2 linked regions of the Lepisosteus oculatus genome follow. The main gene of each other region encodes a partner of the protein of the gene in region 2 in a complex. Links are inferred from orthologs where the notes say so. Each region holds a gene or a part of one and is shown on either strand. Other genes may lie near its edges.

What was found. The genes of interacting proteins can lie anywhere in the genome.
Region 1: the proteins of rab11fip1a (region 2) and ras-related protein Rab-14 are in contact, whole or in part, in a crystal structure (PDB 4D0G), measured with the Homo sapiens proteins. The link is inferred for Lepisosteus oculatus from reciprocal best matches to the Homo sapiens genes RAB11FIP1 and RAB14. Residues at the interface, in NP_001002814.2 of Homo sapiens: Glu1252, Ile1255, Asp1256, Asn1257, Leu1259, Val1260, Met1263, Pro1267, Asn1268, Leu1270, Arg1271, Ile1272; in NP_057406.2 of Homo sapiens: Leu28, His29, Ile44, Gly45, Val46, Glu47, Phe48, Gly49, Trp65, Arg72, Arg74, Ala75, Val76, Ser79, Tyr80.

What each region holds. Positions count from the first base shown.
Region 1 is NC_090719.1:14,694,963-14,701,911, reverse strand, and holds the start of ras-related protein Rab-14, read left to right. Parts: upstream 1-3,876; 5' UTR 3,877-4,043; intron 4,044-4,085; exon of another isoform or gene 4,086-4,157; intron 4,158-4,200; exon of another isoform or gene 4,201-4,573; intron 4,574-6,949.
Region 2 is NC_090697.1:72,846,630-72,853,784, reverse strand, and holds the start of rab11fip1a (rab11 family-interacting protein 1), read left to right. Parts: upstream 1-4,104; 5' UTR 4,105-4,240; intron 4,241-4,246; exon of another isoform or gene 4,247-4,547; coding exon of another isoform or gene 4,548-4,687; intron 4,688-5,052; 5' UTR 5,053-5,249; coding exon 5,250-5,599; intron 5,600-7,155. UniProt on the Homo sapiens protein: A Rab11 effector protein involved in the endosomal recycling process. Also involved in controlling membrane trafficking along the phagocytic pathway and in phagocytosis. Interaction with RAB14 may function in the process of neurite formation.

The DNA of each region.
Region 1 (6,949 bases), on a different chromosome or scaffold from region 2:
TGACAAGTAAAGGCAGAAGTCTTCCAATGTCATAGAGGCGTCTTCTTTCAAGTTATCTTTTTTTTTCCACAGCTTCCGAAGTTTTATTCTGAAGTTGTTGGGGGTTTTTTTCATCACACCACAGTGGCTTTTCAAACAGATCTTGCACACTTTGCGAAATAGAGGCATTTTGTTGCGATAACTGTTTACAAAAAAAAAAGATTAAATGATTCAATCTAGGCGAACAAAAGGCCAGACCGGTATAAGAAGCACTCCCATGTTGTGCTGATATACTGTATATGATGATGAAGACAAAATTACCATGACTGTTATTTCAAAACCTGCCGGTGGTCCACAAGTTAGAAAAGGATGATTAAAGGGGTTTATAAGGAGGTCATGACTGGTAAAGGCCGGGGGAAATTTGGCCGGGACAGCGGGGTAACACCCCTACTCTTTTCGAGAAACGCCCCGGGAGTTTCAATAACCACAGAGAGTCAAGATGACTTATGACTCATCCGAGAGACGGCTCCTTTTTACAGTATAGTGTCCCCATCACTATACTGGGGCATTAGGACTCACACAGACCCATACTGGTCCCACTAACCTTTCTTCCAGCAGCAGCCCCAGCTTTCCCAGGAGTCTCCCCTCCAGGTACCGACCAGGCTCACACTGCTGGGCTCCAGTGGGCTGCCAGCCGGGAGCTGCAGGCAGACAGATGGATGGATGACCCAAGATGGGACCCCTGTCAGCAGAGGAGAGCGCTGCCCTGCAGCCTGCTTTCGTACTACAGAAGATGGGAGAAGTTCTGGCCTGATGAGTCTTTAGGCTTAATTATGGACCAAGCACACAAAATGGCCTGACAGGGATGTGAAACACTGACCATCATTTCACGTGAGGCCAGATCAGTGACTCTCCTTTTTCAGAATAGAAAGGACAGATGTGTTGCAGATGTTAGAAGCACTCTAGACACCTCAGATATGTTTTGGTGACCTCATGGTCTTTGGAAGGTAGGAGAAAACTAGAGTACCTGGTGGAAACCTGAGCCAACAGTGGGAAGCACATGCAAGCTTCCCACAGAAGGAGCCCCAGGGCAGAATCGAACCCGGATCCCGAGGGCTGCAGGCAGCAGCAGCTCCCAGCCTCACGGTGAATAAAGGGACCACATCTGAATCAGTTCACAACACTGAACTGAACTCAATCCGTCTTTCGGATGAGACGCAAAACCGAGGTCCTGACTCTCTGTGGTCATTAAAAATCCCAGGGCGTTTCTCGAAAAGAGTAGGGGCGTAACCCCGGCGTCCTGGCCCAAAATATCCCCCTGGCCTTTACCAGTCATGGCCTCCTAATAATCCCCATCTATGAACTGGCATCTTCCAGGAGGGGCTGCACACTGGTGGGGGTGGAGGGGATCCCCATTACCTGTAAAGCGCTTTGAATGGAGTGTCCAGAAAAGCGCTATATAAGTGTAAGCATTATTATTATTATTAATAATAATAATGCACCTCGCTGAGAAAAACAGGAGTATTGCAGATCAATATTCTGTCCGGTTATGTGACGTCCTGCAAAGGGTGTATCCCCCTTGCCAACGTTGCCTGCCGGGATAGGCTCCCGATCCCTCGCATCCTGTATCGGACAAAGCCGTTGGAAAATGAATGGATAATATGAAGCCTCCATATCAACGATAAAGGGGGATGCCAAATAGTTTTATAGCTTGTAATGTATCGCCCTCTGGCGGCTGTCTTCCGAACTACCCAGCCCTGGGTCTCCGACTATGTAATCCCTCCACCCCGGAAGTGACGTCTCCATGACCCCGTAAGGTGAAGACGTGTAACCGAATCGCCCAATCAGGTCCTGCCACCCTTTCAAGCCCCGCCCACCTTCTCCCGCGAGACCGTCTCTGTCTTGTCAACAGCAGCTTTGCCAGCAACGTTACCCGTGGAGAAGGGCGACGGTTTTCTTCCCGGACACATTGAGCTGCTATTATAATGATAATAATTATCATCATCATCATAATTCGCCTTTTTAGGAGCAGGAGGACCCAAGCTATCACAGAACAGGAGGCCAAGCAGTCAGAGGACATGATCACGGAGGGTCTCAGGGAAACAGACTGCAAGTATTTACAGTACGGTGTCCCCGTCACTATACTGGGGCATTAGGACCCACACAGACCGCAGGGTGAGCGCCCCCCACTGGCCCCACTAACACCTCTTCCAGCAGCAGCCTTAGTGTTTCCCAGGAGTCTCCCCTCCAGGTACTGGCCAGACTCACACCTGCTGAGCCACAGTGAGCTGCCAGCTGCCAGACACAAACCTGCTAACTGGACTGACCTTGGGGATAAACTCGGACTGAGGCTGCAGGCCAGCATGCCTCTGGGCTGTGGGGGGGGAACTGGAGCAGACCCACACAAACCAGCGAGGAACATGCAAACTCCACACAGACAGCACCCCGGGAACTGAACCCAGGGCTGTGAGGCTGCAGTGCTCAACGCTGAGCTTCACAGGGCGGTGCGACAGGCTGCAGCAGTGGAGCAGAAGGAGCTTGTATCGGGGAAACTCCCCAGCCAGCCGCGGGGGAGAGCAGAAATGTGCAGCCTGCTTGTTGTCCGTTAGCAGGGCTGCCTCGCCGAGGTCCACACCCCCAGCTCTGATCAGCTGTGATGTCTCTGACCACTTCCTCCTGGCTCCTGCGTCCCAGGCACCCTGCAGGAGCCAGATCTGCATCCTTACCCGGACGAGACCCTGATCCAGAGCAGACGCTGCAATCTTTTGAGTCACTTCAGAAAAACAATCACATCCTCTGAAAAAGAGGCCCTTTCTCACATTACCATCATGTCTGGAAACTAGATTTATGACTGAGAGGCGTACTATAAAATCAGTTGTTCATACGTGATACCACAGTGTCAGTGTTTATAAACTGGTCAACAAGGTGAAATATTATTATCACTGCCATGTATTTTACTGAAATGTACAACAAAGGTCTCACCTCTTTAATAGAGTTCCTGTGATATTATCTAGTAACTAACTCACGTTATTTATTTAATTTACATGTTCATCACTTACAAAAAACCTCTGAAGGTGAAAGCCACAATAATAATACAAGTCCAGTCCTTGTACTGTCGTTTATTTTGATAAAGATAGGGTTTAATAGTAGAAATACAGTCGAAAGAAAATACAACGCAAACAAGAGTACATACAACATATCAATAACATCGTCCGTTTGACAAAACAGAGTCAAGAGCCAGTAAGGTGCGCACAGTTTTCATTTCACGTTTTTACATTTCCAAAAAGTCCGCCAACACGCCTTCACACCTGTTGTTGGCGCCGTCCTGTAAAGCCCTCAAAGGCGCTATAGAAAATAAAGCTGTGTCGTTAGAGAGATAAGAGATAGATAAGAGTGGATTGATCCCGTAGGGAAACGCTGTATCATCAGAGAGATAGAGATAGATAAGAGTTGATTGATCCCGTAGGGAAACTGATTCATATTATTATTATTACTTTGAATAGTCCGGGACACAGGACTCTCCCCTCTGTAGGAGCACAGTGCCGTGTCGGTGTCACCGTGAAGCTGAGTGCACACCGTGCACGGCGATACTTCCGCAGTGCTGCCGACGGGACGGGACGCCCGTGGCCGGTGGCCCGTGGCCCGTGGCCTCGCGCCTCGCGCCTCGCGCGGGCGCCGGGCGCGCGCCGCTGCCCTTTGTCCCCCCAGGCCCATTGTGTGTGACGGAGGAAACCCTGTGCAGCGCGGGCCGCCATCTTGGATCGGCAGACTCCTCAGCCCAGGATCGCCCTGCGGATCCCTTCACAGCGCCGGAGCGAGTCGACGCAGCCGCCCTCGGAATCACGGTAAGCGGGCCGGGCCGGACCTCCGGGCCGCCCCGCCGGCGGCTGTCGGAGCCGGGCGGTCGCCTCTGGATGAGAATCTCTCCCTTGTCGTCGGGGGGGGGAGAGAAAGGCAGGCAGGAAGGAGGAGGGGGTGACTACACCCAGATCGCGAATATTATCCGGCTCGGCAAGCCCGTCCGCTCCATTCCTGCACGGCGGCGGGTTCTGCACGCCGGGAAGGTGACTGTCGACGTTTCGTGTCGGTTTTTCCCCCCTCTTGTTTTCGCTCGTTTTGCGGGGCTGCGGGCGGCGCTGGCCGGTGGCTTTTGTTCGGTGTCTCTCTATCCGGAAGAGGTCGGTCTCATGATATTTTGTTTGCCGTTTGAATAAGAGGCGAGGAATACCGGGGAGGGGAGGGGGGGTGTTGAAATATCGAGACTATCGCTTCTCGGTGCCCATCGCACAGGGACTGTCGCTCGTCCGCTGCGTGGCGGCACGTTTGGGGGTCCTGTCCCCCCCAGTGCTGTGTCAGGGGGCTGGAGCGGCGACACCGGTGCTGATGGAGGAGGCGGGCCGGGCCTAGCAGCTCTCGCCGGGCAGCAGCACAACCCCGGCCCGGCTGGGAGGGGTTTAAAGTTTAAACGGTGACAGCGTCGGGTGTAATGAAGTGACAACAACACCGGCCGGGTCGCCGGCCAGATATCCGTCCCCCCCCTCCCTTCTGCAAACGCGATCTGAATTCAAGCGGTGCTGCTGTCACGGCGCTGGAGGTGCAGAGCATGTTTTTGATTTGTCATGCGAGAGATATGTGGGGTGGGGGTGTGCTGTCCGTGTCGCTTCATGAGCCTCTCCTGCGGTCTTATCAATGCGTGCTTGTGAAATTGTGGCGAAGACGGCGATTTCTTAGGCTTGCAGGGCATTGCGCTGCCCCTCAGTCCCGGTGAGCTGAGACAGCAGGCCCGGGTCGGTTAAGGTATACGGTGTTGACAGGCGTAGCCGAGCTGCAAATAAAATGGACAATGACGACTGTTCAAAAGAAGCGTTTTACCCCCCTTCTGCCGCATTTCTATTGCAAGACGCTGCATGCGAGGGTCTCTTAGGCCTCGGCTGTGTTGTCGTCTCTGTAAAGCCGGTTTTCAATGGTCCGTACTCAGAAGACCAATTTACACAGCTCTGACGCGTTCTTGGCCACCTTTTTGAATGGTTTTCCAAAAGACAGCCCAGGACGAGACGGGTGTAGAAAGAGTGTTATCCCTGGTTTCTTGGATTTTTCTGGATCTCTGTTCGAAATCGATTGATTCAGTTTTTCAGCTGGGGGATCTCTAAGCAGGATCGGGTGTGTTCTTTCGTGCCTGAAGACAGCCCGCTAGAGTTTCGGCTCTCGGATGCTCAGTGTGCCGCAGATTGTGATCCGAATGTACCACCGAGAAGGGTTAGATCTGAAAACACGTTTTACAAGGATTTCCAGCTACTTGGTTTTGCTTCTGTCGGCATCCAGGCCCCTGTGAGGTCACCCGGATTGTGTATCCTGGAGCAGACTACAGTTTCTGCCTGATTCTGAAAGATGGGGGGAGTTTTATTATGATAAAGGTGAAAAACCTAGGAATGAGGGTGACAAAATCTGAAGAATCGTGTGCACGAATCCCCTGCTGTTCGCCCTGAAGGACCTCAGTGTTTTACTCTTGCACACACAGGAGGGGGTGTATCCCCCAGGTCAGGTGGAGAAGTGAGAGCTCTTGAGGATCTGCCGTGGGGAAACTGAAAACATAGCCACCAGGTTTTCACTTGAGGGGTGTCGGTTGGCTTCGTTCCGTGTGAGCATGTCAGCCGCTGTTTGGTGGAGATGTTGCAGATAATGCACTGCTGAGTCATGATTTGTAAAAAAAAAACGATATTTTAAGCCCCTGCCGTTTTCGCAATTTCCTGACCTCATTTCACGTGAAGTCATTTAAAGGAGCTCAGGGGTGCCTGGTGAGTGTCAGGTAGTAGGCCACAGAGGGAAGGAGTGTGTTCAGCTGCAGGGAGAGAGATGGTGAGGTCTCGCTCTTGTCAGGGAGAGGAAGTGCTGAACTGGCAGGAGCTCAAGGCAGGTTGGTCACATGCTAGCATTCTCTATGCTTGGGAGATTCTTATGGCATTTCTCACAGGAAGTCTTCTCCTTTTGCTTGTCGGCAGTGACTCAGTGAGGAACGGATTCTTTGCGTGTGCCGTGTATGGCACTCCAGACGCGTTGAAGTACTTTGTTTGAAAGAGAGAGGTCGGCTAACGTCTTAAAACTGCAGCGATCTTTCTTCTTCTAGTTTGCTTTGTGTGTGTGTGGGCAAAGCACAGGCCCAAATCGGCAGCCTCAAAAAAAAAAAAAGGGAGCTGAATGATTTGGTATAGTGCACTTTGCACCAGCTTAGCCCAGAACACTCTCGCGGTCCTTAATTCGTCCGTCATGAAAGATGCAGGGGGCATCCCAGGATGACCTCGTTATTTTTTTTTTAAAACTTCATTTTGATTGTGTTTTCCCATCTTGCCATGCACAAGCCCATCCACAGAGAACCGGGTTACAAAGGCTTCTCAAATATTCTTGCTTGTGGATGCCACACCTCGGGTTCTTGTATGTGTACATTGTTACCATAGATATGACAAGATCACCATTCCACCCAATTATATTACAACTGGGGAAAAAAAACAGGCAGGCATGTAAAATGTACAGGTGAGCTTAGTGACCTTGCCGTGACCTAGGGGAGTCTTAATTTCAGGTACTTTTACCTTTCTGTTAACTTGGGAGGGGGTTGTACAATTTCCTACCTCTGGTTAACTTTTACACATTTTTTTTTAATCAGGACTTAATTCACTGTGATGCCCAGATGTAATTCTGGAAAACTCTGTGTGCTGTCTGTGTGGAGTTTGTATGTTCACACGAGTTTCCTCTGGCCACTCCAGTGTCCTCCCGCAGTCCAGAGGCACTGTTTGTCTGTTTACCTTCCAGGGTTAACTGTATACTGTGCCTGTTGCGTGCCAGAAGAGGATCTAGCTCCCCCGCGATCCTGAATTGCATGAAGCAGTTAGAAAATGGATGGTGCTGTAATCTCGCAGTATGAGGAGCGTGTGAGAAATAACTAGTTATGTGACGGACGTAGATTGTTGCTGTTTCA
Region 2 (7,155 bases):
ATCCATCCTGACTTTGACAGGCATTCGGAGAGGGCCAGAGAGATTTTTATTCCTGCTTCAAGGGTCTGGATTAAATCGAAATTTCAACTTAATCACAAATTCTAGGTGCCAATTGATGGGTGCTTTCTGTTAGGCAGTCTCCTGCCTGCATCTACTCAATGGACAACCTCCAGAAAGTTTCAGGATTTAAATTTGACACTGGCAGATGTCTCCAAGATTGTACAGAATATTGGCCAAGGTCTCAGTTACATCATTGATCCAGCAACAAATATTTAAAGTTCTACCAAGATGTTTTACATTGGATGATATATAATACAGCCTTGATCCAGTTTTTCAGTATCTGCAGCCCCCTGGCTCTGAGTTTCAAACCCTCGATTTAAAGTATTTAAAAATTAACAACTATAGAAGGAAGAGTACACGTCATTATAATGGAGGATTCAGGTTTCATTTAATTTGTTTTACTTCAGCTCTCATTTCATTAAAGCCACAGAGTTATGTTATTGAACTGCTTTATGAGCTCTTAACTGAAAACTCAACAAAAAAAAGGAAAATTTAACCGACCATAAAATTGAAAAATCTATGGTTTTGTAGTTCTCATTTCTGGGTGAACAGGGGGAGATTTCAAGATTAAAGTGCGTATTTATATTTTTTACCTGAAGACAATTCATTATGTATATTAATAATAAAGCATTTTTATATAATATATTTCTTCTAGAATCCGGACAGTGCCTTATAAAAGATTTGCTTTGTCGGTTGTTTATTTCAAAATAAAGATTTTTTTAAGCTATGTATGCATTGTGTCACTGAGAAACTTCCTCCCTCCCATCTTTTGTTTATTCTAAATGTTTTTTAAAAAGCAATACTTGAAAATGAGCACAGATTCTTGAATTCCACAACATAAGGCGGGCTAGAATGTTAGGTTGTATGTTTTGAACAATTCGCTCTTTCCCCGCTATCAGTGGGAACCTCCCCCTGCTGTAAACAGACGAAACAGCTCCTAATAAGGACCTGCTCTTAGCAGCAGCAGCGCTCAAAGCCTCTACCGTCTGTCCGTGGCACCACAGATCCTAGACGTTTAATGTTCCATATAAATTAAATCAAGATAAGCCCGTAATGTCAGGACAGCTAGTGTGAGGGTCCCAGCGTAGCGCCAACATCTGTTGAGCTATAGGACCAACCCCACAGACCCCCTTCTGTCACAGACAGAAGTCAAGACCACAATTATCATTTAGTAAGACAAAAGACCAAATTAATAAGGAGCCTCCTTATTTTAAGAACACTGGACAAACCAGAAAATAAAATGTCAAAACTCATCCACATCCGGGCACGTCCAGAACAGAATACAAAACGGGCCCACGGCGCCCCCTAGGAAAGCATCCCATTGAAATTGTGAAGTGTTTGCTGCGCTATGTAGGAAATGTACTTTTCGATGTATCGATACAATGCAATTAATCGTGTATGTACTGATTTCCTCATTTAGAGAAGGGCGCAATTAGTAATTTGATTCTTGACAAGACCGTATCAATTAAAGATGAACGACACTGCAATTAAAACCGAAATACCGTTTTAATCAAAGTTTAGAACCACCCCCCCCCATCGGAATTAAAAACTCACTGAACGTTAATTTTGTATTAAAAGCTAAGCATAGCCTGGAAGGGCGTAGATGTACGTATGTGAGTGCTGGGGAATAATACTACGGCGAAAGTTTCACCTTTTGGGATTTTGTGCAGTGCTTGTAGGTCCGGCTAGATTTTTAATTGAAAGGTCAGTCACAATTGTATAACCACTTACATCCTGAAACACATATTTTTTTTTTTACCCTGGCCCCATTGAGTTGCATAAAAGCGTGAAAAAAGGCACATAATTTGTCAATTGTATTTGCCTTTCGCGGTAACGACCACTTTTTCACCATTTAAGGCCGTATATAGAATCTGACACGAAGGACAGAAGATGGCGCTGGTGTCTCAAAATTGCGGGCAGTCGGTTCCCTTCATGATGTGTGGTTCACCGTGACTAAAAAAATCTGAAATCTTATTTTAGTGGTTTTATTTGCTGTGCTTTTTTGTTGTAGACAAAAAAAAGGCAATAGTAAAAAAAAGTTAAGAAAGCGTGTTATTTTTAGCAAGATCGTGCGGCTTCGTCTGGGGGTGATGGCGTTTCTTGAATTTACGATGGTAACGTATTGACCAAGCGACTTTATGTGAATGGAGAGCAGTTATTCCCTGACTCGATCTTTCTGCTGGCCGGGTCACAAAAAAAAAAAGAATAAGCTCAGGACTCATTATGTTCGTCCTAAATAAAAACTACAGCATTTCACAGTCACAGGACAGTGTGTCTTTCCACCTTAATAGGAGCCGCTCGACTGTCCAGTGAGAGCGCTTGTCTTTCAGAAATGATAAATTGCAATTTAATCTCTTACTACTTTTTAAATGCTTGTCGTTTTATTTATTTAACCACGTAAATCGAATGAGAGCAAGCAATAATAACTTGGACAGCATCCATGGTTTCAGCAGAAAAGTTACCGGGACAAATTGAGTGCGCTAATGGTCAAGGTGTGCCGACAGCTCTGTGCTCCCGTATCTTGAACCCAGGATACTCCATAAGGATAGCCTTCATCCATCCCTGTACCTTGAACAGTCACTCACAGACTCTCTCACTCCCTTTGGAAATTTCAGTGGAATGTATAGTACACAATACCTAGGACTAAATCTGAGACTTTTGGTGCCTATGTCTTTTCCGTCGCTGTTCCTTTGTTATTTAATATTTCCTCTAACTCCTGCAGAGACAAATTCTTTGACTGTTTCAAATCTAAACTCAAAACTCACGTTTTTACTAGGACCTATGTCTGATTGCCCTACATTCTATTATATCCTGTATTTAATTCTATTATTATAGATATTATACGAAACCAAAATTAACTAATAATAAATCAGGTGGGCAGCTGCGTCAGCATGCGTAGGCTGCAAAGGGACAATAGGTTTATTCCATGCTGAAAAGAGAAGAAAGAAAACGCAATGTTTCGGCCGTGGAGTCTTCTTCAGGTGTGAGAGAGACAGGGCAGTAGGCAAAGGTAGTGTAGTGGGAGAACAAAGGCTGGGAGGGAGCAGGGGACAGAAATCAAGAGGTGTGAAGTCAGGATAGGTGTCGAGAGGTGTGAAATGAAACTTCCAATGAATGGAGAAAATGTAGTAGAATAGTAGTCTGTCGTTAAGAGAAGGCGGAAGGTGTGATCCTAGCTGCAGGATAAGTTTGGTTTCGGTGGTCTTTCTGATGTATGAGTTCGGAAAACCGTCTTTGAGAACACAGACGGAGGGATTAGAGTGGTCGTGGCCATCAGAGGTGAAATGAGAAACAATGGGCTTGGAGAGATCTTTAATCTTCACAGCCCTGACGTGTTCTCTGAAGCGGTCTCCGAGTCTCCTTCCTGTTTCTCCAATGTAGATGGCTGGACATTTACTGCAAGAGATACAGTAAAAAAAGTTGCTGGAGGTACAAGATGCCATCTGGGTGATCCGGAATTGTCCTGAGGGGCCTTGAATGAGTGTGGTGTTGGATGTGTACTTGCAGGTGATACAGCGAGCTCTGTTCACCTGAACTACTATACTGGAATGTTAGGGCCCACACAGACCGCAGAGTGAGCGCCCCCTACTGCCCCCACTAACACCTCTTTCAGTAGCAACCTTAGTTTTTCCACCTTTAGTTTTTTGCTGCTTGAATACAGCGATTAAATCGACAATACGCCAACTCATTTTACAAACAAGCCTGTTTCCTAAGCAGATACGCGTCGAAATGAATGGTTGACATATTTCTCTATATTTTCCTAACAGTATTTATGATTATATAATTTCAGTGCAGATTATAATTATAGACTTACATCCACGCTTTACCTGTACCGTAATGCTTGTCATCGTGTTTAATCTCTTTAACAATTATGTTTGTGCAAACTTATCACTTTAGTTTTTTTTTACACTCAGTTGCATTTCTTTAAACCCGAATGGAACTTCGCTTTTAAACACGCAGGTCATTGTGTTACAATGACGTAATGCCTGTTGCCGAGCAATTTGATCCCTGATCTTTACCTGCTCCGGACAATAGCAACCTGTTGTAGAGCATTTCCACCAATCACAGAAGGAAAAGGTTTGATTGATCGGTAATTGGCCAATAAGCAACTTCGTATTGGGCAGATGGACGGGAGAAGGTCGAGGTGGTGCGTGATGAAGGAGGAAGTTTAGTATTGACTGTGAGTTAATAAAACAAGAGGTAGCACTCGAATTACTGAGACTAAGGCGAAATGCGATAACTGAAAGGAGCCGGTATTCTAAAAATGTCAATATTTTTTTTTAAAGCCGGAATGAAAAGACCTGCTTTCTAATGAAATGTTGTGGGCAGCGAATGGTAACTATCGATGAAACGACTCTCGTTGAATAAGCTGTACACATGGTAACTTTAGCAGCTGTGGACTGATGACCTGAGTTTGCTTAAGGTAGCAGTTTCGGTAAAAAAAAACCCGTTTAATTAATAAATCCTACTTACAAGAACGAACGTGGATGCGAAGCGGGTTACAGGCGGCAGTTGCGGAGGCTGGACATATATCGTGTAGCAACTGTTATTACCACGAATGTGTTTATGACGAGTATAGACTTTCCCAGGAAAAGAAAAAGACGACCCCGGATAATTTCCTTCGAAGGTAATGCTGTTTGTTAGGAAAAAAAGTTGACAAAAAGAAATTTCGGGCTTTGAAATTCGCTTATAGCAACGCGCTAGTGAAAAGTCCTTTGGGGCTTTACACGACAAAACGCAGAAAATAGACGAGTCGGTCGGTGCGGTACTGAACAAGTGCGCGGTGTGGCGTACGTTAAAAATATTCAAAGGTGCGAGGGCGACAAAATATTCAACATATTTTTAGATAGTGACTTTTACGTAAACTGCTCCAAGGAGGAGTGTTTTATGATAAGGTCACGTCATTGGTGTCGCTGAGGAATTTCAAGATTAAGCATTCCAGTTCGTGGTGTTTTCAAAACACTACAGCTAACGTTATCGCATTTTTTTAAGGAGTGGCAAAGGGTTGTGAAACATCCCAAGCCGTGCCAACTACAGACTTCGTTTGCGACTCGAGACAGAGAGAGGACCAGCTCGCTTTGGCACGGACACGGCGATACCTAGAAACTCGGGACAGTTCCCTTTGAAGTGCCCTCCGTTCAGCCTCTTCTAGCGACAGGTTTCGTTCGCCCGACCCCCGGACACGGGCCATGTCTCTGGCGGAGCAGAGCCAGCAGTGGTACCCCACCACCGTGCAGGTGACGGTGCTGCAGGCCAGGAACCTCAAAGCCAAGGGCAAGAATGGCACCAACGACGCCTACGCCATTATCCAGCTGGCCAAGGAGAAGTACTCCACCTCGGTGGTGGAGAAATCGCCGATGCCGGTGTGGAAGGAGGAAGCCACCTTCGACTTGCCCATGTTCCACCAGGGCAACGAGCAGCGATGCACCCTGTACATCGTCGTCATGCACCGGGCTCTGGTGGGGCTGGACCAGTTCCTGGGGCAGGCGGTCATCAACCTCGTGGAGCTGCAGGAGAACAAAAACCGCAACAGGACTGAGTAAGTCTCCAGACTGTTTCGGTTCAGGTGTTCCTGCTGGTCTAGCCAGCCTAAAGAAGTGTCTCCAGAGTTCTTGGATCAAATCTGAAACTCTTGCCCTCTTCTCCATGCCGACAAGTGCATCTTGCTGGGGAGTTGAACTCTGTGCTTTCAGAACATGGAAAACAGCCTGATTTTTTTCTCCCTCTCCTTTCTGTTGTCTGCCAAGCCCGTGCAAAAAGTTGCAATCTGTCCGGTATAGAAATCCTTTTTACCTTTGTTCTCACAGCTGGTCTCTCTTCACATTTCTAAGAACTTTAACTGCTGTAGTTTTTTTTTTTTTTGCCGGTTACTTGCCTTAAGTCCTGAAGTGTCCCTCCTCACTTTCTGGGAAATAGAAATGTGTAAAGTGAAGAAGAGATGTCTGTTCCCCTACGGCGAAAGAACTTTCTTTTGTATCCCAAAAGAAAAGCAAGTTGTACTTATTTTGAGAACTCATGAGTAAAAGGAATTTGTTAGCCCTTTTCGGAATACATAAGTAAAAGATTTATTTAATTGATTTAAAGACTGTAAATTGAGGAATTGGCTTGATTTCAGTTTTCCAACTGAAAGTAGTATGTACCTGTTAGATTGAAACTGGCTGTCCACAAGTATGTTATTTATATAAAGGAACTTAAACTTTTTCATTTACTAGTTGTTCGTGAAGGTAAATTGTATAATGCAAAAATAGAGTTCTTTAAGAATTTGTTTTTATGCCGCAATACGTGAGAGGATATATATTATGTTAGCGTTCATAATCCTTGCTGTTTTGCTTGTCTTTTCTTCAATTGTAGTATGCACAGTACTGTGGTGTGCCTGTGGAATCCATGAAGCGTTTGAGCAGTTCTAAGAAATGTTCCTTGCATATTCCTAAACTGTGCCATCAGACATTAGCCTTCCTTCCAAGAAAGGTCATCTTCAGTGGGAGTGGGTGGAAGAGCTATGAATATTTGAAAAGGCAAATATAAACAGAGGGGAGGTCCATTTTTATTGTGTTAATTACCAGTAATTGGAAAAGGGCCCCCACCTCTTTTAATCTGATTATAGTTTCGACAGTACTCGGCGGCATGACAGTGACTTGACAAGCTACAGAAGCTAGAGTCGTCCCCTAGTGTGAAAACTTCCTTATCGCTCACTGTTGTTTGATTGTTTTCTACACCCATTACTCCTGCTTTATTTGCATTGTAAAGTTTTTAAACCTTTTTCCGCCCAGTCCTGCTTTGGGGGATGAACCCATGACAATGCCAAAGAAACGACTTGGGGACTAGCATTAAATGTTAAAGCGTTTTGCTTTTGGTGCTGGTGATTAGCTACTCCCACGAAGATATTGTGAGAGAATGGCAGCAGCTAGCCAGCCATGTTGTTGAAGCCAATACCCTGATATCAACCTTATTTTTCACTAAATGGCTGGCTGAGATCCTGTGATCAATTAATTGCTTTGTACCAAAATGGCTAGATGTTCTAAGTGGCCTCCTTTCATTCTCATGTTTTTAAGCTCGGATGTGGACTTTGCTTCAAAACATCAGAACTGCTGGAGA